Diceros bicornis minor: one gene and its partner. The protein of the gene in region 2 binds, or shares a complex with, the protein of the main gene of each other region. Links are inferred from orthologs where the notes say so. Each region holds a gene or a part of one and is shown on either strand. Other genes may lie near its edges.

Region 1 (12,544 bases), on a different chromosome or scaffold from region 2:
GAAACCATAAAACAGAATACCGTGTAGCCATTAAAAATAGTGGCATGGACATATACGGACAGCTAATTTTCGACAAAGGTGCTAAGGACATGCAATGGAGAAAGGAAAGTCTCTTCAATAAATGGTGTTGGGAAAACTGGACATCCACATGCAAAAGAATGAAAGTGGACCATGTGCTATCGCCATGCACAAAAATTAACTCAAAATGGATCAAAGACCTGAAGGTGAGACCTGAAACTATAAAACTCATAGAAGAAAATATAGGCAACACACTACTTGACATTGGGTTTAAAGGAATCTTTTCGGATGACATGCCTACCCAGACTAGGGAAACTAAAGAAAAAATAAACAAGTGGGACTTTATCAGACTAAAGAGCTTTTATAAGACAAATGAAATCAGAATCAAGATGAACAAACAACCAACCAGCTGGGAGAGAATATTTGCAAAACATACATCTGACAAGGGGTTGATCTCCATAATACATAAAGAACTCACACAATTGAACAACAAAAAAACAAACAACCCGATCAAAAAATGGGCAGAGGAAATGAACAGACACTTCTCCAAGGAAGATATACAGATGGCCAATAGGCACATGAAAAGATGCTCAACATCACTAATCATCAGGGAAATGCAAATCAAAACAACACTAAGATACCACCTCATGCCCGTTAGAATGGCTATAATCACCAAGACAAAAAACAACAAATGTTGGAGAGGATGTGGAGAAACAGGAACCCTCATACACAGCTGGTGGGAATGCAAATTGGTGCAGCCTCTATGGAAAACGGTATGGAGATTCCTCAAAGAATTAAAAATAGAGATGCCCTATGATCCAGCCATCCCACTACTGGGAATCTATCCAACGCACCTGAAATCAACAATCCAAAGAGGCTTATGCACCCCTATGTTCATTGCAGCATTATTCACCATAGCCAAGAAGTGGAAGCAACCTAAGTGTCCCTCGACTGACGATTGGATTAAGAAAATGTGGTATATATATACAATGGAATACTACTCAGCCATAAAAAAAGACAAAATCGTCCCATTTGCAACAACATGGATGGGCCTGGAGTGTATTAGGTTAAGTGAAATAAGCCAGAAAGAGAAAGACAAACACTGTATGATCTCACTCATATGTGGAATATGAACCAACACATGGACAGAGAAAACTGGACTGTGGTTACCCGGGAAGTGGGGGTGGGGGGTGGGCACAAGGGGTGAAGGGAGTCATATATGGGGTGATGGACAAACAAAAATGTACAACCCAAAATTTCACAATGTTAGAAACCATTAAAATATCAATAAAAATCAAAAAAAAAAAAAAATAATAGTGGCATGGATCTCTACCTTTAAGCACAAGTGGTCCATGATATATTGTTAAATAATTAGAAGCAGGTTTCAGAGCAGTTTATATAATATGATTGTCTTTTTAAGGAGTAAAAATGTACATGTGTGTGCATGTTCTCAAAGGAAAAAGGCTGGAAGGATATATACCCAAATGTTAAGGACTGGAAGAATTGGTGTGATTTTTACTTTATTAAATATATCTTTCCAATATGATATGAAATGTAACAATAAGTATTACTTTTCCTTTAAGAATCAGGGAGGAAGAAAATTTATTTCCATTTTAGAAAATGAAAGAAAATTTTAAATATCATGCACACATTAAAGGCAAAATGAAATTTTGTGTAATTGGGGGCATCTTCCCAGTGTAGGATAACACAAAGTAAATGCTTTCATATTTAAGTTTAAAATAGAAAAACAGTTTTTAACAAAGCCAGAGTTTGGATATTAATCATTACCACATGATTCATTGTCTCAATCAGGTAGTGACTGATAAACACTGCAATCATCAGACTGGAATGGACCTCAACAATTGATTAGTTTCTAGATTCAATTTTTACTGTGTTTCCCTTTTTAATTCCCTTCACTCTAATTGGCAATTTGATCTCACACAATTCCTAAAGATTGGCTGTGGTCAAAATGAGAGATGACCTAGGAAAACCCTCACAATACATTTTTTTTCAGCCTACACCAGGCCAACTTAATGTAACACATCTTAAATGCTTCTGGAAAGAAGGAAACAAAATCCGGGATGTACTAGAATCAGAAGACAAAAGTTGAGAAGGAAGGACTAGAAAGCGCAGGGTTAGAAGGATTTTGTGCCCATAGCCAATGTATAATAAATATAACTTAGCGGACTGGATTTTGATATTACATTGAGAAAAATTACTTTACTATGTCAGATAAATGGGAAAAGAGCGGACTATGTAACAAATTGTGTTGGGACAAATGACTAACCACTTGGAGAATGTATAGTAGATCATAACCTCAGACCTTAAATCAAAATAAATGATATATGAATTAAGTATTTAAAATAAAAAATGAAACTAAAAAAGTACTAAAGAAAATATCAGTCAATATTTAGGCATGACCTCAAAGTTAGAATTATATAGTAAAATTGACAGGCTTAAGTATAAAAATATATACACTTAAAAATATATACTTAAATATATTTATATTCTCATTTTTAAAATATAGATTGTCAAAAATATTAACCACGAATTGTGAAAATATTTGAAATATAATGAGAAAAAGCTTATATTCTAACTTTAAAAAACATGTTTTTATAAATCAACGAGAAATGTTGAAGATCCCAATGTAAAAGTGGGACAAGGCTATAAATACACAGTTCACAAACGTGAAAATACAATGGTCACTAAGCATGAAAAGAATTTTCAACCTCACTAGTAACCAAAGAAAAGAACATTAAAACCGCACTGATATTGGACCTTTATTTAGTACTGACAAAAATGGGTACTCACTATCTGAAGGGCAAGTTGTCAATACATACGCAAAAGTGCTCATGCCAATTGATCCAGAAATTTCACTTTGGAGAATTTATCCTCAAGAAAATGTGAGCAAAGATTTATGTATAAAAATATTCATCACAGCACAGTTTAAATTACAGGAAAGAAATTATTTGTGCAAAAGAGAGATTGACTAAGAACTATATATATATTGACTAGAATAGTAAGAAGTTCCTGAAAATTAAATTATAAAAGAATATGTGTTGACATGTAACAATGTTCATGATGTATTGAGTGGTTAAAAAAAAAAACAGCATGCTACCAAATTGCCTACTTAGGATACCATCTTTTTGTGTGTGTATAAATATATATGTAATATTTATATATTTATACACACTATATATATTATATATACAAAACATACAAATGTTAACAGTATGGCATTATAGGACATTTTTTCTTTATAATTTGTGTGCCTACATAAGATTTAATTTTCTGGGCTCAGCTTATGTTACTTTTGTCATAAAGACCAGCAGAACACTAAGTGTAAGAAAATGTTTCCGGCATACAAAGGAGACAGAGAGAGAAAAAATGTCTAGGCGTTGCCATTTAAATTGGACCTCAAAGGGAGCAAGGGCTTGCATTGGTTGTGAAGTACCTGATATCTTGCACTTGGTCAGAGGCGGTATACTTTGAGTGGATGAAGAAAGTTTTGGAAAAGGGGAGACATGCACAATATTACAATCAGGAGAAGGCTGACTGATGGGGGTGGGGATAGAAGGAGGTATCTGTGAAAAGGAAGTCAAATCAGGCAAAAGGAATGGAGAACATCAACCGCCACTCACTTCCTCATTCAGTTCTCAACTCAGGAAATCTCTCCACCTTTGGGTCTTCCTAAAGTGCCCCCCACTTCAGTAAAGGGTGCCAACAGTGACAAGCTGTCGAAGCCAGAAGCTGAGGCCTGGATCCTCCTCTTTCTTTATCTGCCCACCCCAACATCCAGTCAATCATAATCACTCCTACATCTGAACTGCCACTCAAATCCATCCACATCTCTCCATTCCCACTGCCACTACCCAAGTCCAGTTCATCTCTCATCTCAACCATTAAAATAGCCCCCAAACGTTTTCTCTGACTGCTATATAGCTGCCTGAGCAAATTTTGTAAACGCAAATTTACCAGGCAGCTCCCCTGTGTAAACCCATGACAATAGCTTCCCATGCCCTTAGGATAAAGTTCAACTCCTTAATAGAGTTTACAAGGCTCTTGTGATCTGGTCTTGTCTCTTACAACTTGACCTCTTGCCACTCAAGCCACATCCAGCCACACCCAACTTCTTCAGTGCCCAGAATGCACAGTGCTCTCACTTAGGGGAAACACCCTTCCCTCCATCTTCATCTGGCCAACTCCTTCTCACTTTTCACATCCCAGCTTAAACTCTCTGGAAAGCCTTCCCTCACCCCTTAGATCGGGATAGCTGCCTAGATGCTTGGGTTGTTTATTTAGTGTCCTCTCTTTCTCCCTTTGTAACACACATCATACATGACATATAATTTCTGCCTTCCTCTCTTAAATCTGATCACCATGAGGACGGAATTGTGTCTCTTTTGTTGATCATAGCATCCCCAGTGGCTAGCAAAATGGCTGGCACGTAGCAGATATATATATAAATATGTATATTTATATATATGTATAAATAAAGGTGTATTGAATTGAAATAAATTCACTTGGCACCTTTATTTACATTTTCTTTTTTTCTTTCTTTACCTCTCTTAGGTTCTAGTTGCCAATGCTGCCTAGCCCCCTCAGTAACAAGCAGAAGAAAAGAGCTAGCTAATTCCTGCATTAGAATTTAGGAGGAATGTGTGTGCATGTATGTATCTAACAGCCAGAGAGGTAATAAAGTTAAGACAGGCTGAAGGTTCCTTTCACAGCTTGTAAAGCCAGCAACTTCATCTAAGAATCATGGGCTTGTTCTAAGATTGAGTATTAATAAAAGGCTGTGGGATTTTAATGGCATAGATGAAAAAAATAAAATAAAAACACATCATTTGTTCCAATCAAGGTTGACATCTTAAAACCAAGTAGAACAGAGATCTGTTTTTAAGGAGTCAACCATTTACATTTCATAGAAAAGATCTTTAAAGGCACAGGATTAAAATATCTTCCCCTCAGTGCCTTAGAGTTCAGGATCTCTCTGCGTGTGGCTCATACCGGATGAGCCACCCCCATGGTGCCAGTTTTCACTAGGAAAAGAGAGAATCTCTAGGTGATTTTCTCCCTCTTTCTAAAAAGACAACTACTTAGACAGTCTAGAAAGAAGGCCAAGTATGTTCATTGACTTCCCTGCCTCTTGCTGCTGTCTGCCGAATCCTACTATAAACAGTTTCCAACTGAAACCCTCAGGTTGAACTTACCCTCTGCTGCAGATTATTTCTAGGGCTTCCAAGTTCCCATGGTAGGCTGCCAGTAGTGTGGGAGTCATGCCATCTTCATCAGAAAGATTCAGATCTCTCTTGGTAGCCTCTTTTAGAAGTTCCAGGTAGCTATCACTAGCAGCTTGGTGGTAGTGAGTGGACATTTTTTCCTGCTCGGCCAGATATCACTCTCTGAGCAGAGCAGGATGTTAGTGGAGCAGCCTTCCTACGAAGCTGGTTAATCAGTGACAAGGAAGAGTGTCACCCCAGGGCAAAGCTCATTCCAGCCTCCCTCCATGGATGGCAGCCAGAAAGGTTCACAGCACTGAACTTGGACCTTTTCTTTCTGGAATGGCCGTGACATTGAATATTGAGGACTGCTGTGTTCATCTTGAGTGTTTTGAGGCACATTTAATTTTTTAATGTCCATTAACAAGTCTTGAGTATAATATTGGTCATTTAGGCACAGAATGTAGAAAATAATTTCCAAACAATTCAAAACTAGTCTAGTTCACTGGGGAGGTTTGTTTTTTTAACTGCCTTTTTTAAGGTATAATTTACATACTATAAAATTCACCCATTTTAAGTGTGCAATTCAATGATCATTAGTAAATTTACAGAGTTGTGTAACCATCACCATAATTCCATTTTAGACATATCTATCACGCCAAAAATATCCCTCATGGTCATTTATAGTCAAACCCCATTCCCACTCCCAACTCCAGGAAACCACTAATCTGCTGTCTATCTCTACAGATTTGCTTTCTATGGGCATTTCATATAAATGGAATCATATAATATATAGTCTTTTGTGTCTAGCTTTTTTTCAGTCTCACATAATTTTTTGAGGTTCATCCATGCTATAGCAAGTAACAGTACTTCCTTTTTATTGCTGAATAATATTCTACTATGCTAATATACCAAATTTTCTTTATTCACTCAACAGTTGATGGACATTTGAATTGTTTCCAGAGTTTAGTTTTATGAATAATGCTGCTATGAACATTCACATACAAGTCTTTGTGTGGACATATATTTTCATGTCTTTTGGGAATATACCAAAGAGTGGAATTGCTGGGTTGTATGGCAATTTATATTTAACTTTTTTTTTTTTTGAGGAAGATCGGCCCTGAGTTAACATCTGCCAATCCTCCTCTCTTATTTTGCTGAGGAAGACTGGCCCTGGGCTAACATCCATGCCCATCTTCCTCCACTTTATATGGGACGCCACCACAGCATGGCTTGACAAGCGGTGAGTCGGTATGCGCCAGGATCCAAACCAGCGAACCCTGGGCTGCCGCAGCAGAGCACACGCACTTAACCCATTGTGCCACTGGGCCGGCCCCTATATTTAACTTTTTAAGAAACTGCCAAACTGTTTTCCAAAGTGGCTGTACCATTTTATATTCCCATCAGCAATGTATGATGGTTCAAATTTCTCCAAATCCTTGCAGCCTTTGTTGTCTATTTTTTTGCTTATGGCCATCCTAGTGGGTGTGAAGTGATATCATTGTGGTTTTAATTTGCATTTCCCTAATGACTAATGCTGTCAAGCACATTTTCATGTGCTTATTAGCCATTCTATCTTGTATTTAAATTCTTTGCCCACCTTTTCACTGGGTTGTCTTCATATTATTGAGTTATAAAAGTTCTTTATATATTCTGGATACAAATCCTTCTGAACTGAATGAAAACACAACATATCAAAATTTATAGGATACAGTTAAAACAGAACTGAGGAGGGAAATTTGCAGTTTTTAATGCCTGTATTAGAAAAGAAGAAAGATCTCAAATCAATAATTTAAACTTTCACCTTAAGTAAAGAAGGAACAGCATGGAAAAATTAGTGTAAATAAAGATCACAATATAAGACCAAAAACATGGTCCAAATCTATCTGTAATCAAAATAAATGTAAATGGACCAAACTTACCAGTTAGAAGACTCAGCCATGTCTTATTTACAATGGACACATCTAAAATATAAAATTGCAGAAAGACTGAAAGCAAAAAATGGAAAGGTTGGGGGCCAGCCCGGTGGCGTAATGGTTAAGTTCAGCATGCTCTGCTTTGGCAGCCCAGGTTTGGATCCCAGGTGCAGACCTTCACCGCTCATCAAGCCATGCTGTGGCAGCAACCCACAAACAAAATAGAGAAATACGGGCATAGACGTTAGCTCAGGGCCACTCCTCTTCAAGCAAAAAGAGGAAGATTGGCAACAGGTGTTAGCTCAGAGCCAATCTTCCCCAACAAAAAAAAAAAAAAGGAAAGGTTATATTGAGCAAATACTAACAAAAAATTGGTATAGCTATATTTATACCAAAATATAGTTTAAGCCAAAAAAAATTACTGGGAATAGAGATCATACATAATGATGAAAGGAAAAATTCATCAAGAAAATATGATAGTCCTAAACTTTTATATACCTAATACATAGCCCCAAAATAGAGAAAACAAAAATTAATAGAATTTAAAGAGAAAGAACAAATCCACAATCATAGTGGGAGATTTTAATATACCCCCTAAATGTTATATGTCAATGAGACTAAAGATTAGTAAAGATATAAAAGATTTGAACACAATTAAAAAGTTTGATCTAACAATCCTATACAGAACCCTGCACTCAATAGAAAATGCATGCTCTTTGCAAACACACAGAGAAGATTTATAAAAATTATCCACCTAATAGAACCGGTTAGTGCAGGCCTCAACAAATAGGTTTCATGCAGACCATGTTCTCTGAAGGCATTGCAATAAAATTAGAACCCATCACCCTTACACAACTGATGCACTATTTATATAGTCTCTTGTGGTGTATTTTTTACATAGTTTTCATCACAAATACATACCATTTTATATTGTGTCTTTTCCTCTCTTTAGTCTACCACGAACATTTCCCATATTGTTACAAAATCCTTAATATGTTTGGATAATATTCCACAGAATTGATGTGAGGAAGGTCTATTTTCAAAGTCTTTAACTGTTTATTCCTATTATCTCTTTTTTTCCAAGTCTTTATTCCAAGATAAATTATTTGCCCATTCTGAAAAAGTACAAGGCTTCCATTTGCAGTTTCCTCAAAAAATTAGCTCCAAGGATCAATGTTTGTTCCTTTTCCTGGTTTCTATGAAAACACCAGTAGAAGCTATAGAAACAACTCGGAGGGAAGCATTATTTAGTGGCAAAAAAAAAATTTTTTTTAGCCCAAAGAGAGTAAAATATCCAAACATCATTGTGGGTACTTTGAGAACAAGGTAACATTCTTCCTCAATTAATTTTTTAAAAAGCCACTTTAATTTAGACACAGTTGCATTCATTAATGCACTCTTAAACAGAAAATCATATATAACTTGAGAGAGGGCTTCTCAAAGATGGATTAATTGTAGTAGAATGCCAAGTGTCAGACAAGGAGTCTTCTACTGGATGAAGATGATGGTGGTGATGATAATGATAACGATAGCAGTGATGAGGGGAAAGAGAATGATAGGGATGAGGATGGAAGCAAAGGAGAAGGAGGACAGAGCAATTATAGAGAAGAGGAAGAAGGGTTGGAAATGGAGGACAAGGAGGAGAACGAGGAGTTTCTCAACTCCAGTGGTACTTACGACTTAGATTTAAACTCTCCTGTGAAATGGTAAAACATCTGAACTTTTTTTTTTTTCTTAATGGTAAGGATCCTGACATCCTCTGGCCATTTCCTTGAGAAAACTTCTTCCTTGAAATAAGAATGGATGGGGAAGGAGAGGAGAAGCAGAAACAAATCCTTCTGAATTTGAAGATCCTCCCTACCCCATCCCTTCAAGAAGAGGTTGAGAAAGAGGATTGAACTTGGAGCTAGAAGACCTAGAGTCCATATGATCTGGGGCAAGTTACTCCATCTATTTGAGTCTCCATTTCTTTGTGAATAAAATTGGGGGATATTGCTTATGATCATGTCATCATCACCTAAGCTTACAGTAGTGAAGATGAATGAGATAAAATTCCTTACAAACTATAAAGTATGGTTTTACAAACTGGAAGTAGTGCGATTGTGGCTTAGGGAGGAGAAAGAGAGAGAGTGAGCACTATAGCGCGATAATTGGTGTATTTTCTTATTCCTCGAAGCCCAAAGGAAGCAAAATTGGCAGGAGATATTGAGGGCAGAGATTAATGAAAATAACTAACACAGATTTGCATATAATGTAGACACTAGTTCCTTGTGAGGAGTCTGGAAAATTGTGGGGCAATTGTGGATTTTGACTGTATGTTCTGACTGTATTGGTCTTACGGAAACAAGTATTTGAGTCTGTTCCAACAGCATGCTGCTGGAGTCTTGGAAGGTCAGAGAAGAATATCTGTCATGCACGATAGTGGAGAGACTTTGAAGATCAGACTTAAGGAGCAAAGACCCTCCCCTGGATTGTTCTATTACTTAGCAAGTCAAGGCCCTCATCAACCTTCTTTTGGAACCAACCCTGCCCCCCACACCTCCCTACATTCCTGTAATATTCGTATAGCCTTAGGGAAACATCCTGCCAGTGATTTCTTTGTCCCTCTGGCTGCCACTTAGGTTCAGAGGGGTAAGCTTCTTTCCCTTCTTTGTTTTCCTAAAACTCTAGAAACTCAACTTATTCCCTGGCACATCAGGTAATATTTAACTACTTCACTTTGAGAGGCCCTTCTGCCCAGACACCATTTCTTTTTGCCAATGACCCGGAGAAAACAGGGTTAATCAGCCCCCAGAGGCAGCACTTGGAAAGATCCTCCCACCAATGAGTCTCCTCCTCCCCATAGAGCAATGGCATTTTCAACTCTTCATTGTTGTGTTTATAATTTTTCGGCCTCTTCTGCCTCAATAGCAGCTACCTGACAGCTGGGTGGTCTAAACAGGTGTCCCATCTACCATGGAGTCTATCCTGGCTGGGAGAAAGTAGCACTTGGATGGAGAATTTACCTAGGACTCTGACCTATCTATAATAAACAAAGTCCTATGTGTTTCTTTCTCAGAGAGAGGAAAAGAAGGGACAAAGATTAGCGGTAGTTGATACTTCCAGTCTACCCCAAGAAAAACCAATGCCAGCAAAGTAGAAACCAAACTGCTCCCTTTTTGTTCTGAAAAACCCTTCACTGCTAATTGGGAAAGAAATTCAACAGCTTTTGCAGCCCAGAAACACATATTTTTATTAATGAGATTGCCCCCTGCACTCCAAGAGCTCTGGCTTTCAAAAGCAGACAGTATTTGTTCTCCAAAGCTATTCATGTCTAATTACAGAGGAAATTCACTTGTATGGTAGGGAAGCACATTTTCAAATAATAAGAAAAAAGAAAAGATCCAAGAAGAACATTTGCTTTTAACAAGATTACTTCATCTAATGAGTATCTTATTATGAATTTTAATGAAAATAAAGGCAATAACAGAAAGCAAAGGAAGTTAAAGCGATTACAAAAGTCCTGTTGTTACACAGAAAACTTACAGGAATCAGGCGAGGGCAGAACAAGGCATTGTTAACACACTACTGCTATGTTTGCTGAGCTTGGCTTTATGAGAAACATGTCTGTTGAGGTAAAGACATTTTCAAATGTATTATCTAGAAAATGTCACTTAGACATGAATTTTTTTCTCTTTAGCACAGTAATAAAACTCTTCAAACTATTTGATGGCGATTTTTCCTATTCAAAAGAGATTTCGATCCCCTGTTTCTCATTTAAACATATATATCACTCTTAAAATACAAAGAAACTTTCTTTCCCACACTGAAGGTCATTGGTGTTGTTTTCCTTAGACACTGTTAAATACAAACATGAAGCAATCAAAGGAACCATTGTCTGCCCTTTTGTTTTCTCTTCTCCAAATGAAAACATTTATGAAAATATTTAGGTGGGTGAGTTGACTATTGAAATTGTAGTGTCCCTGATGTATGGATTGGGCTTAATTTATTCATATAAGTTTCAAGCCATTCAAAGCCCTATTTTTTCTGCCAGAAAAATAGACAGAGCTGTTATTGTACCATCTGGTTTTCATGAGAAATCTCTTGGCATCTCTTAACTGCACATTTTATAAATGCTAAATCCCAGATGGTGTTGTAATAGTGGAAAGTTTTATAAAGGTTTCCAAAAAGAAATTCTTTAAAATGTGAACACTGGATAGTCTGAATAGGGGCTATGAACTTAAATTCTACACTTGAATCAGCTGGCTTTGTTAGCTGGACAAATTTCCTTTTTTCTTAGGCCTTTTCCCCTTGCTAATTAGTTACTGGTTCTGTGAACTGAAGGCTTCAACCAATATAATCACATGACCTGAGTCCTCACCCAAAGCTTAAGTTCTATAAAAACTGCAGGAATAATGATGACTGGAAAACCTATACCAGCTGCCATTTTGTTTCAAGATGGCAGAATTTGCCACAAGGGAGGTGTGTTAGAGCACCCTTTAGCAGATCACCAAATACCATCAAAACTATTCAACTCTCTCAAAGCTGATAGTTGGACTGGAAAGACAGGCAAATGTGAATGTGAATGCCAATTGTGTTGAAATCAAGCCATAGTACAGTAATCGTTCAGAACACAGGTTCTTAAGTCAGAGACTGACAGATATTAAACCAGAAATCAGACCCTGCCGTTTATGTGGGCAAATTACTTCTTTCTGAGTCTCGGTTTCCTCATCAGTAAAATGAAAAGAATACTTTTCCAGTTATTATTCACAGGGACATTGCAAGTAATTACTAAGTTAATATTTGTAAAATGCTTAGCACAATGTGTGGTGCGTAGTCAGTACTCAATGAATGTAAATCAGTAGTAGTTCTAAAAGTACAAGTAAAGTAGAAATTGTAGTACTAGTAGCAGAAAGGTAGAAAGTCTCTCCCTTCTTTAGTGCAAGCGTAGATGTGTAATTACTGCCCTTTCTTAAGCCTTCTTCTCTTCAATTTTTTTTCTCAATAACAACAACAACAACAGCTGGGATCTGGGTTTTCATGGTCTTAGCCCTTATCATGGTACAGAAAAGAGAATATATAGTTTATAGTCACACAGAGTTGTATTTCAACCTGGGAATTTGTTTTCATTTTCTAGGGCTGCCATAACCAAGTACCTCAAACTACGTGGCTTAAACAACAGAAATTTACAACTTCCTCACAGTTCTGGAAGCTCGAAGTCCGAGTTCAAGGTGTCGGCAGGGTTGGTTTCTTCTGAGGGCCGTGAGGGAACGATCTGTTCCAGGCCTCTCTCCTTGGCTGTAAAAGGCCATCTTCCTCCTGGTCTTTACATTGTCTTCCCTCTGTATATGTCTATGTCCAAATTTCCTCTTCTTATAAGGACACTAGTAATACTCTATTAGGGCCCAC
Region 2 (12,212 bases):
TTCTATCTCCCCCTTCTTCACCTCCCCTGCTCCCTGCATCTCCCCCCTTCCTGCATCTCCTGGCGCCTTCCATCTGCTCCTCCCTCTATCTACCCCTCTCTCCATCTACCCCTTCCCTCCATCTACCCTCTTCCTCCGTCCTCCACTCCATCTTTCCGTTGCTCTCTGTTCTCACTCTCACGTCCCTGTCTCTTGGTCTTTCTCCACCTCTGTCTGTCTATCCGTCTCCTCTTCTGTCTCTCGTCTGTCCCTCTCCTGTGCTGTCCAGCCGCCCGGGGCCTCACCAGAGCTTTGCTAGCACAGGACTTGCATAGGTGGCCGTAGTGCTTGTAGCCGAGGATGGTGAGGGCGATCAGAGCTAGCAGCAGCAGCGCGCCCAGCACACCGCCCACGGCTGCCATCTCCGCTGTCGAGAAGCGCCGGTCCCCAGCGTGGCTGCCATCCGGCCCGACACCCCCCGTGGAGGTGCTGCCTCCTCCAATCCCGGGCGTGCCTGCTGGTGACACCACTGCCCACTTGCTGTCGGCACTACAAGCGCTCACCAGCTCAGCCTGTACCAGCTCAGAACTCCCCGAGTAGAAGCCAGCCTGGCCGCCTCCCGGAGTGAGGGTTCTGGAGAGTGGGCAGTACTGACGCCCCCCCAAGGAGCTGTATTCCCAGGGTCCCCCAGGGAGGCCAGACTGCTGAAGGGAAGGAGGGGGGTGGGGGTCAGTGCCCCCCAGCCCCAGGTGGGAGGAAGGGGTCCAACACCACAGGAAGGGAGATGAGGGCAGCACTGATGCCGGTGGAGTGGACGGCCCTGGGAAGTGTGGGGTTCGCTGAAGCCAACGTGTGGCCTCTGCCCTGCCCTCCACTCACCTTTCCCGGTTTACCTCCTCAGGGCCCCCAGGACCTGTCTGTCTCTGCCCAGAAAGAGCAGACCCCGTCTTGGGATCTCATGGTCATTCTGGGCCAACCTGGGGCGGACCCTGCCCTCCGGTGACTCCCAGGACCACCCAAGTCATGAGTCAGGGAGCATGAGGGTGACTCTAGGGCAAATGGGGGTGCTACCTGAGGGCTGGGGGGTCCTGCTGAGCCCAGGGGCTGTTGGCTGCGAGATTCCTGGCTTCTGAGTCTGTGCTGAGCCCCCGCTGGGTGAGGCTGATGGAGGGGAGGTGCTGGTTCCCGCACTGGGGGGCCCCCCAGGCGTGGTCGAGGCAGGCGGCCTCAGAGTTGTGCCTGGGGGGGAGTGTGGGCCAGTGTCCCCCCCAGCGCTGGTCGTGGAGGGTCCCTGAGAGGGCCCGGAGGGCCTGGGGGTTTCTGAAGTGGTGCTGCTTGAGGGCCCAGCTGTTCCTCCAGCCTCTGGGGATGTGGAAGGACCTGGGGGGTCTGGGGCCAGGCACAGGGCTCAGCTTGCCTCTGCCCCCAGCATGCCTGTGGCAAGAAGCCCCCCCCGAGCCATCACCGGGGACCCCTGGAGGCTCACCTGTGGGGGTGGGGGTGGGCTCCTGTTCTGACACCTGTATCTCCACCAGTGTGGTCGCTGTGCCTCCAGTCGCTGTGTTCGTGGCCTCGACCTGGGGCAGGAAGGGGGCTTGTCTCACCTAGGCCCCGCCTTAACTCCCACCCCTTAGAGATGCCACAGGCCCCTCACCTCTGCGTAGAAGACCCCCGCCTGCGTCAGTGGGTTGGCCACCAGCACGGCCTCCCCTTCCATTCGGAAGTCGGAGTTGTTGGTGATTCGGTACGTGATGGCCGAGTTGAGGTCCTGGACACGGCCCCAGTGAGTCCTGGACCCAGGCTGCCCCCGTATCCCCCCAACCCACCCACAGAAGGGAGGCCAGGCAGACCCAGGGGCCAGGCGGTGCCTACTGGGAACTCGGGGTCCTGGGCCTGGATCCTCAGAGCCTGGGAGGGGGTGGCTGCGTCCTTGACGAACTCGCCGCTTCCTGAGCCCAGCACCACGGTGCCGCGGTACAGGCTCTCGGGGAAGTGGGGCAGGCTCCCAGCAGCGTCTAGGGCCTCCACTGTGACCTGGGTCACCGAGTAGCGGGCCTGGTCTGCCTGCTCCCCCTGGGGGTGGGGAGGCGGCAGTGGTCAGTGGGCCCTCGAAGGGCAACCCTGCAACCTGAAGCTCAGGAGGGGCCCATGGAGACCCGGCCAAGGCACCTACCTTGACCCACATAAGAAAGGTCTTGGGGCTGGGGACGCTCCGGGTCATGGTGAGGTTGCCCGAGTCAGCGTCAATGGTGAATATGTCCTCGTGTCCTGGGAGGACGGGGGTAATATTTGGCCCTGGTCCCCTCTGGAGGCCTGAGGTCCAGGGTCCCAGCTGGCTCTGCCCATGTGGCCGGTCCCCCTGGGGCTTCCTCTGCCCACAGTGGGGGTGGGGATGGGGCCGAGGTGTTGTATGGAGAGAGAAGCTGGGGACCCGGTCCCCACTCACCCCCTATAATGCTATAGATGATACGCTGGTTGATGGCCCTGTCCCCGTCCACAGCGTAGATGGGCCCTGGATGCAGGATGAGGGGAGACAGCTGCGGGAACGGGGATGGGAGGGGACTCTGTGGGGCTGGTGCAAGGGCCCAGCTCGGTCCCTCTCATTCTCCCTCAAGGAGGCCTGAGATGGCCCCTGGGCGGGCCTGCCAGAGGTGTCCAAGTGGCCGACAGGATCAGTCATCACGCCCCTTAGATCCGTCACCATGAATCAGTTTGCCCCAGGATATGGATGGATCTGAACAACACGTCTCCAGAGGCAGCCCACACAGGGCCCCGGACTGGGCCTCTCGCATACAAGGGGAGGCCCTGGAGGCCCCACTGCCTCAGTGCGCCCCATGGCGCCAGCGGGTACAGCCAGCCTGTCAGAGATCAGCTGCCTCTCGGGAGCACCATCGCGGCCCATCCAGTCCTCCCGGTGTCCCAACCGCCTCATGGGGCCCCCGGCCCTGCCCTGAGGACAGTGGGCCTGTTCCCCTCACTGAGTTTGTTCACTGCTCACGCCCACGGGCTGGGCGAGATTGGTTTACGAAGGAGAGTCCACATTTGTTTGACAGTCACAACCGAATTTGGCCCGGTGGCACCAGCCCCCACCCCCAGCGCCGGCCCTCCCTGTCCCCGGTACCAGTTGGTAGCCGGTGGGGACAGCCCCCTGGTACTGGGCTTCGATGCAGACGTAAGAGTCTGTGTAGGAGCAGGGCAGGAACCAGGGGGGCCGCAGATCGATGGGCTCCACCTCCAGGACCAGGGTGGCCGTGGCCGTGTGGCTGGGTGTCACGTTCTCTTCCCGTGTATCCTACAACAGCCAAGACCCTCGGATCAGGTCTGGGAGCCTGGGGGTGGCGGCAGCTCGGATGGGGACCCGCGCGTCCAGGACTCGGGGTGGGTGTGGCCTGCTCACCCGCACCAGCAGCCGGAAGGTCATGTTCGGCCACCTGTCAAGGTCCAGTGTCCGGTCCAGCTGCAGGGCAGGGAGGTTCACTCCCACCAAGGAGAAGAAGACACTGGCACCCTGAGGAGGTGGGGAGGCCTCAGCCTGAGACTCTGGGGGCTGCAGAGAGGCAGGGGCGCCCAAGGTGGAGGGGTCTGAGTTGGGGCAGGGATTGGGGGCACTGACCGGGGTCACTTCCTCGAGGGTGTAAAACAAGATGTCATTTTTGTCCAGGTCCTCGGCCTGCAGTTCCGTCTCTGGGATGACGGTAGTGTTCACTTTAGCGTTCTGGGGGACAGGGGGGTTGGTCTGGCCACACTCCTCACCCCCATGGCCAACACATCCGGCCACTAGCCCTCTGCCGTCTGGCCCCTCACCCCAGCTCCCGATGGCCCAGTGCCAGCCCAGATGCCACGGCCCCTGGCTTCCTTCACACTCACCTCGGGTACCCTCTCCACCCTGACCACAAAGGGGAACGTGGGTGCATTGTCATTGACGTCCAGCACAGACACGAACACCCTCAGCTGGGTCACCTGGGGGGACGGGAGGTGGTCAGCCTCCTCACCTGGTGCCCACCCCAGCCGCCCTGGCTCACCCTGGGTGCTAGAGTGCCCGGGGGCTCCTGCTCAGGAGGGGTTACAGACAACGAACAAGAAGGAATTTGTAAAGCACAGAAGGTGGTGAGTGCCCTGGAGAAAATAACTCAGCTCCTGGGGACACAACCAGCAAAATCCCAGACGCGGAAAACGGCAAAACCATCCAATTTCTTCAAACGTAGATCTCAAAGGAAAAAGGAGAGAGAAAGGGGACCAGCAGACGGAAAAAGACTTAAGAGAAACTCAAGCAGCCGCATCAGGCGGACCCTGCTTGGATCTTGGTTCAAACAAGCATCAGTCAAGACCCGTCTGCGACCTGGGGGCAGGATTCAGACGCTGGAGGTCACGCGATGCCCGCCGTCCCAGTTTCCTCAGTGTCACAGCAGTGTCCTGATGATGTTTCAGAGGAAGGGTCCTTATCTTTCAGAGAGTCATCCTGAGACATTTGTGGGTGGCGTGCTGTGATGTGGGGGTGGGGGCGCCCACGGGGCTCGCTGCTGAGCAGGCAGGTGCGTGGGGCAGGCGGTCAGGGTGCCTCTCCGAGGAGGGCATGGGCGAGTGAGGACCGGAGATGGTGAGAGAGGGAGGCAGGTGCGCATCTGGGAGAGGGCACAAGGCCGCCGAAGCTGGGCGTTGGGTCCCTGCGCCCGGCCTTGCCCACCCCGGCAGTGCATTTGGCTTTGACCCGGAGTGAGAAAGCAGCCATGAGAGGAAGTCCTGGGCAGGACGTGCGGCTTGCTTTACTGGATCTTCTTCTGCCATATGGAGAGTGGATTGGGGTAGGCGGAGCCAAGAGGGGAGCAGGTGAACTAGTTGGAAGGTTCCAGAAAGGAGATGCTGGTGGCCAAGGCCCAAGTGGGGCATGGAGGTGGGGAGGGTCTAGCTTGAGGCAGATCCAACAGATTTGCTGATAGAGGGACGTGGCGGGGGGGAGGTGAGGACCTAGCCCTCAGGGTGGGGCATCTCCACCGTGCGGGACCTCGGGTTGGGGGCCTCTATTGGGGGTATGATGTTGGCTGGGCTGGGTTTGAGGGTCTGGGGCTCAGGGCAGAGTCTGGGCTGGAGGAACTGTGGGTGTCACCAGCACAGGGTGACACTTGACAATACACCACTGGGTGAGGTCACCAGGGAGTGACCCTGGACCGGGCAGAGCAGAGGGCAGAGGTCCAAGCCCAGAGCGTTCTGACGTCACAGGGTAAGAGTATGACGTGGGGGGATGCCCAGGAGGTCGGGGGTGTGGGGGCAGGACTCACCACGGTGTCACCCCTTTTGCACTCCAGGAGTGCCTGCAGCAGTGAGTTCTCCTGTGGGGGTGGGCAGGTGTCAGGAATCACCTGCCTGGCTGGCCACAGCACAGCGTCCCCACTTCACAGGTGAGGAGACTGAGGCCGAGGGGGCAGGTGCTCGCCCAGGGTCCCCATCATCCATGCTAAGCCCAGAGGGAGCTGGGGGCCGAGGCAGCTTTGTCACCCCAGGGCCCCGCCCCCCTCAGGCCAGCCCTCTGCCAAGCCTTGGGGCCCCGGAGGGGTCAGTCAGTCCCTGCCTGAGGGGCGCAGAGCCCTCAGGACCCCTGGGCAAACTGACACCCAAAGGCCCCCAGAGAGCCCTTCTCCGGGAGGGAGGGTGGGTGTCCACTTGGGTCCCGTGGGGGGTCAGCCGCCCCAGCCACCCCCACGGGCATGCCCCACGGGGGGCCTGCCAGCCACACCTCATAATCAGGAGTCACGTTGAGAAACAGCTGGGTCCCTTGGATCCGAAATGCGAAGAGGGTGGACGAGGATCCGAGGGTCACCTGCTGGTCGTCGGGGACGTAGATATCCACCAGGGGCTCGGTGACATTCGTGTTCTCCTTGACTTCAAAGAAGGTCTGGTTCACAGAGCAGACTAGAAAGTTGGAGAGGAAGGGTCGGTACCGCCCAGCCCCATGCCTGCCCCCCAGCCCCACCCGCCACGGCCCTGAAGGTACCCTGGGCCTGGGCTGTGCCCACGAGCAGCAGTGGCAGCAGCAGGGCCCAAGCCCCCATCTCGGCGGCCGACAGCCGCAGGAGGGTCTGTGCTGGTTCGGTGTCCAGGACCCTCTGGGCAGCCGGCCGCCGCTGGCGCAGTCCCTGCCTGGGCGACCTTCGCCCCTGCCAGGCACCGCCCCACTTTATGATCCTTTACGACCGACTGGCCTCCACCAAGGGGGCTCCCGCCGGCCGCAGGCCAGGCCTAGCCCACTGGCAGGAGGGGGCCGCCTGGTGGTTCCCCGGGCCGGAGCTGGGCTCAACCCACAGACACCAAGACAAGAGACAGAAAGGAGCTCAGAGAGAGCCGCTGGGGCACCGAGGGGCTGGGGGAGGGAGCTGGGGAGCTGGAGGGGCTGGGGGAGGGCCCAGGGCTGGGAGGGGGCTGGGGAGGGGCAGGGGCTGGGGGAGGATGGGGGTTGGGGGAGGGGCTGGGGAGGGGGCAGGCTGGGGGAGGGGTGGGGGCTGGGCCCTGGCTCCTGTGTTTGCTGTGCCTCCCCTCGGCCCCAGCTGCCCCTCTGCTGGGCTGTTCTGCCAGAGTCATCTTGGGGCACGTTCAGACCCCGTGTTCCCATCCAGCTCACCTCCTCTCCCCGCACCCACCATCTAGGTCTGGAAAGAAAAGGTTGTTTGTGTCCTGGGGATACCCCTGCCTGTCCCGGAAACAAGCCGGATTCCTCCTGGTGGGGCTGGGCAGGGCCACAGTGATGGAGGTGGCAGTGTTTCAGGGGACACCTGGGGCTCCCGGGTCCCCGCGGGCTCTGGTGCCTGACAGAGAGGGACCCCAATGAGGCTCGTTGGCCCAGGCCCGCAACTGCCCTACCTCATCTTTCCTTGGCCTGCCAAATCCCAGCAGCTGGAGAGAGGCCACTGGGAGGGGTCAGGAGGGAGGGAAGGGGCTGCCATGATGGGGGGGCCTTCCCGCCTGTTTGCATCGAGGCTCTAAGGGCCTGAAACACCTTCCCGAAGCTCCTGGTATCCAACTGCCCCTGCTGGCAGTGCCTCCACGGCCTCCTGCACACCCAGCACCTCTAGGGGTGTCATCATCGTCCCTGCCCCACAGGCTCAGAGTGGTCAAGCCGCTCGTCTGAGACCACACGGCCTGGACAGGGAGCCAAGACACACACTAGAGTCCTCTCACTCAGAGTGGCCTCCTGGGGGACACCCCTCCACCCCCCTGCCATCTCTTCCTGCCTGCCCTGAGCTTACTTGCCCCCTCCAACTCCCCCCCCACCTGCTGCACACACTGACCACCTGGCCCCGGGGGCAGGAGCTGGGAGACGTCCTGAGTCCCCCCACAGAGCCCCTGAATGTCAGTGAGTGGATGACAGGGGTGCAGGTGGGCCCTGGGGAGCTCAGTGGATGGGACAGGAGGTGGCGCTGATGTCAGAGGTAGGACACGGGAGGGTGAGGCGCCCCACTGGTTTCCCAGGTTTAAAGGGCAGCGGGCGTGGCTGCAGTCCCAGAATCCGAGGATGGGGCCCTCCTCCCCCGACAGCCCTGCACCACAGAGGCTGCCTGACGGTACCCAAAGCACACAGAGTGGGGTCACAGGCCAGGGTCCGAATTCCTCCTTTATTGGTGCCAAATGCAATCCCCCCGGCCCCCCACCCCTCCCGGTCCAGGCTCCGCTCCCCTTGTGCGTGGAGACAGGCTCCTTGGTCCTCAGGGCCTCATCCAGTCCTCTCAGCAGCAGGGATGCCCGGCTCTGAAACCATGACCCCAGGTCTCCATCCAGGAGGCAGCTAAGGAGACCTGGCCTGAGCCAGGGGGGCACTCGGGGGCATCCTGCAGAGACAGCCCGGTTAGAGGCTGGGGACTTGAAGCTGGAGACTGTGCCCACCTGCTGAAGCTGGGCCTCCTTTGGTCACCCACCCTGACTCAGCCTCACCTCCCCCGGCCCCTGGCCCCTGCTGTGTCCACTTCCTGCTGTTGGCCCAGGGTGCCCCAGGCCCCAGAGGGAGGGTCTAGGGGGGTACCCTCCGGAGGGGGCAGGGGGCTAGTGGTGCTCACCAGGCCTGCAGGGTGGGCGTGTCCGGCCGGCCGGGGCAGGCAGAGGCGGCCCTCGGCCGAAGTGTTCCAGGTGGTGGTGTTCTCTGGGTCATGCTCGCTGCCCCCACCCCAAATCAGAGTTAGTCCGGGAGTTGGGGGGTTGGGAGCGGCGCCGCGTGCCGGGCCGTCCCACCTGAGCGCCCCCCACCAAAGGTCTCCGCGCTCACCTGCGCTTGCCCACCAGGCCCTGGAGCAGCCGCTGCAGACGCGCGCTCTCCCGCAGGCGGCTCAGCTCGCTCGTGAACATCCCATCCGAGTGTCGCCGGGCCCTGGGGAGGGGGATGGCGGGCCGCGCGGGCAGGATCAGGGCCAGGCCAGGGATGGGGCGCGGACGCGGGGTCGGGCCGAGGTGGGCCGGGGGGGCGGGCGTGGGCCCCGGGGCCGCGGGCTCACCTGCGGGGCGCGGGGAGCGCGGCGGAGCCCCCGAGTAGCAGCGGCGGCAGCAGCAGCAGCAGCAGCAGGGCCCGGGGGACCATGGTGGGCGCGGGGTGCTGAGCGCTGCTGCCGCGGCCGAGCCCCGCGGCCCCTTTATAGCGGCGCCCCAGGGCGGAGGGTGCCGGGGGCGCTCAGCACCGCCCCGGCTCCGCGCAGCCCCGGCCGCGCCCCATCGATCGCGCGGAAGGTCAGGGCCGCCCCCCCAGCTGTCGCCCCGGCTGGCCGCCCGCCCCCTCCGCCGCGGCGGCGCCCCTCAGCGGGCTGGGGGGCTCGGCCGGGCGGGCCTGCGCGGGTCGGGGGGCCCCGGGAGGGAGGAGGGACACCCGGCGGAGGAACAGCGCGTGCAAAGCCTCGGAGCCTCGACCGCGCGCGCTTTGGAGGCACGAGCAGAGCCTGCGGGGGACGCCGTTGGGGGCTGGCCAGCTCTGCAAGGGGGGGCGGCAGAGGGGCCGAGCGCACCGGAGGAGGGCTCCGGAGGGTCGGGGGCGACGACCGAAGGCTCCCAGGGGCCGCGAGGGTCGAGGCTGGGACGAAGGAGGAGGCGCCCGGTGGCGCGGAAGCCCCTGGAGAGGCCCCGGCGGGCGGCGCGGAAGCGGAGGCCGGGCTGCGGGTGAGGCGGTGGGCGCGGAGGTGGGCAGGGGAGTAGGAGGTGTAGATGCGGCGGGAGGAGGGAAAATGGGGAGGCTGCTGGGTTCCTCCTGCGTGATCAATGCGGGGTTAGGTCAAGTTAGGGTTTTTAGAAACTGTACTCATGAAGTCCTTAATCATAAATTATAAATCCAGTAAATGAAGTGGTAAACTCATGGTTCTTGTGTTACACTTTATATGCATTTTTGTGTGTGTGAGGAAGATCAGCCCTGAACTAACATTCGGTGCCAATCCTCCTCTTTTTGCCGAGGAAGATTTGCCCTGGGCTAACATCCGTGGCAATCTTCCTCTGCTTTATATGGGACGCCACCACAGCATGGCTTGACAAGCGGTGCGTTAGGTCCGTGCCCAGGATCCGGGCCTGCGAACCCCGGGCCGGCCAGGCGGAGTGGGTGCGCTTAACTGCTGCCCCACAAGGCTGGTCCCTTTACATGTATTTTTAAAAAACACACATGCGCCGCGCCTCCCCATTCCTAACATCTTGCATTATCATGGGACATTTGTTACAGTTGGTGAACCAATATTGACACATTATTATTAACTAAATCCACAATCTACATCAGGGTTCACCCTCAGTGTTGTCCATTCCACGGATTTGGACAAATGCATAAGGACACTTTCCACCACACAGAGCAGTTTCACTGCCCTGAAGACCCCCTGCTCCTCTGGTTCATCTCTCCCTCCATCTCTCTCTCCGCCAGCCCCTGATCCTTCTACCGTCTCTGTGGTTTTCTCTTTTCCAGAACGTCGCGTAGTTGCAATCATACAGTAGTGGCCTTTTCAGACTGGCTTCTTTCGCTTAGTAAGGTGCATTTGTTTCCTCCACGTCTTTTCATGGCTTGATAGTTCATTTCTCCTCCTCACTGAATAATACTGCATCATCTGGATGTCCGCAGTTTGTTTATCCATTCATAGACTGAAGAACATCTTGGTTGCTTCCAGGTTTGGGCAAGTATGAATAAAGCTGCTGTAAACATCCATGTGCAGGTCTTAGTGTAGACATAAGTTTTCAGCTCCTTTGGTAAATACCAAGGAGTATGATTGCTGAATAGCATGGAAAGTAGGTCTAGTTTGGTAAGAAACCGCCAAACTGTCTTCCAAAGTGGCTGCACCATTTTGCTTTCCCGCCGGCTGTGAATGAGCGTTCCTGTTGCTCTGTGTCCTCGCAGCCTTTGGTGATGTCAGTGTTCTGGATTTTGGCCATTCTAATAGGTGTGTAAGGGTATCTCAGAGTTGTTTTCTTTATATGTATTTTTAAACAGCTGCTATGGCCTGTTCTTGCACAAACTTGGCGGATTAAAATCCCCTAAACTTTAACACTATTGACCAATTAAGCATTGGAGCATATTCCAAACTCCAAGTACTCACTTAACTGGTGGGATTTCTTAGCGCATCAGACACTTAAGTAACCAGGCAGATCTCCATAAGAAAAATCTTCCTATTTAAAAAAAAAAAAAAATTAACATGCAGTAAAATTGACTTCTTAAAAATTAACATACAGTGAAATTAACATACAGTAAAAAATGAATTTTGACACATGGATAGATTCGTGTAGCAATCACCACAATCAGGGTACAGAAAGACTCCATCACCCCAAAGAACTCCCTCCTGCTGCCCCTTTGTGGTCACAGGCACGGCCCTGAGCGCCTTCGGTCAAGCTTCGTGAGGTCACAAGCAGTCACTAGCACAGAGGGACAGACCCAGGGTGAGGCCAGTTCTGAGTGAAAGAAGTGGGTGGTGCTGAGGCCAAGGAGGGGCGGGCTGTGTCCTGCAGGTTCCTGTCACAGAGGATTTTGTAACTGCCTTCATCTTGTCCGAAACGGCTGTCACCCATTGTCTCTGCTGCTCGGAATTTCTCCCGAGACAGCCCCTGGCCTTGTCCTCACACGCCCATTCCATGGCTGCCTCAAGCATGCAGCGGTCATGCTGCAGTGCCGACAGGTTGGAATGGAATGTCCAGGTCTTTCCAGTGTGGATGGAGACGCACCACTAGGAGAGTGTCCACCCAAACTGTACCCGGATGGGCAGCTGTACCCGGGAAAGGGATGCCCCAAGGAGTCTCGGCTGCGCACACGCTGGCCTCCCGGGTTTGGGCTCCACTTTGAAACAACATGTGATACAAGCTACAGCGACAACATGCCACTTTCAAGCCATAGAGTTCAGCAAGACCCCATGGGTTCCCGGGCCATCAGGCTGAGCTGAGTCCTCATTAGAAACGCACAGAAAATTCACCTTACATGAGTAACTATTCGAAGGCTCAGATCGGACCTCACTCTGTGTTAATGGCCAATTTCAGGGTCCAGGATTCTAAGAAAGAATAAGAAGCTTCCTTTCTCCAGAGCCGAACGCCGGAGGGGCACGTCCTGAGCACACACGCGAGTTTATCGCCACAACAGCTTCATTCTCCGAAGAAGCAAAGCGTGGAAGATATTCTCTACTCCTTTTTTTCGTTTTAACCAAGATTTAAATGTCAAATTAAAGTTAATTGTATCTATGCTTAGTCCTACATTAGGGGTGTTGGAGGAGGGCACTGAAAAGAATTATTTCCTCAAATCTACAATCCTGCCTTCCATCCTCCCTGGAGCCAAAAATCCAGCCTGACTTAGGTTAGCTCGGGCTGGATGCTTTCAGGGTACGAGCCCGGGACTCACATGGATACGGTGCAAAGTCACTGTGACCTTAGCGAGCATCCCCTCCTAAGAACTAGAAGAAGGAAAAGATTGTGTTATTATTATTTATGCTTTTATTATTATAGAAAATTTAAACATACAAAAGCAGACAGGATGGTGTGATGAACTCCCAAGTACCATTACCCAGCTTCCCCAACTTAGGACCAAGCTCATCTACCCCTATCCACTTTCTCTGTTTTTTTCAAATTAATTTTGGAGCAGATCTCAAAAATTGTATCGTTTCATCCTTAAGGATGTCAGTATATAGTTCCAAAAGATAAGGACGGTCAATTGTCGACTCCCCTGCAAAGATCAGCCAGGAAACCTGTGATCAAACACAGCTGATTTATCAAACTTGTAGCCAGGAGTGCTTCAGCCAACAGTCTTGATGATTCAGAGG

Evidence for each region.
Region 1: CDHR5 (region 2) and ANKS4B share a complex: the UniProt entries of both Homo sapiens proteins name them as parts of the IMAC/intermicrovillar adhesion complex. The link is inferred for Diceros bicornis minor from reciprocal best matches to the Homo sapiens genes CDHR5 and ANKS4B.

Annotation. Positions count from the first base shown.
Region 1 is NC_080765.1:30,103,930-30,116,473, reverse strand, and holds the start of ANKS4B (ankyrin repeat and SAM domain-containing protein 4B), read right to left. Parts: upstream 5,396-12,544; coding exon 5,232-5,395; intron 1-5,231. UniProt on the Homo sapiens protein: As part of the intermicrovillar adhesion complex/IMAC plays a role in epithelial brush border differentiation, controlling microvilli organization and length. Plays a role in assembly of the complex.
Region 2 is NC_080770.1:1,356,392-1,368,603, reverse strand, and holds the start of CDHR5 (cadherin-related family member 5), read right to left. Parts: upstream 6,204-12,212; 5' UTR 6,027-6,203; coding exon 5,969-6,026; intron 5,887-5,968; coding exon 5,711-5,886; intron 5,307-5,710; coding exon 5,256-5,306; intron 3,940-5,255; coding exon 3,847-3,939; intron 3,695-3,846; coding exon 3,593-3,694; intron 3,488-3,592; coding exon 3,377-3,487; intron 3,272-3,376; coding exon 3,101-3,271; intron 2,517-3,100; coding exon 2,426-2,516; intron 2,248-2,425; coding exon 2,153-2,247; intron 2,053-2,152; coding exon 1,852-2,052; intron 1,748-1,851; coding exon 1,634-1,747; intron 1,557-1,633; coding exon 1,466-1,556; intron 1,369-1,465; coding exon 1,051-1,368; intron 494-1,050; coding exon 285-493; intron 1-284. UniProt on the Homo sapiens protein: Intermicrovillar adhesion molecule that forms, via its extracellular domain, calcium-dependent heterophilic complexes with CDHR2 on adjacent microvilli. Thereby, controls the packing of microvilli at the apical membrane of epithelial cells.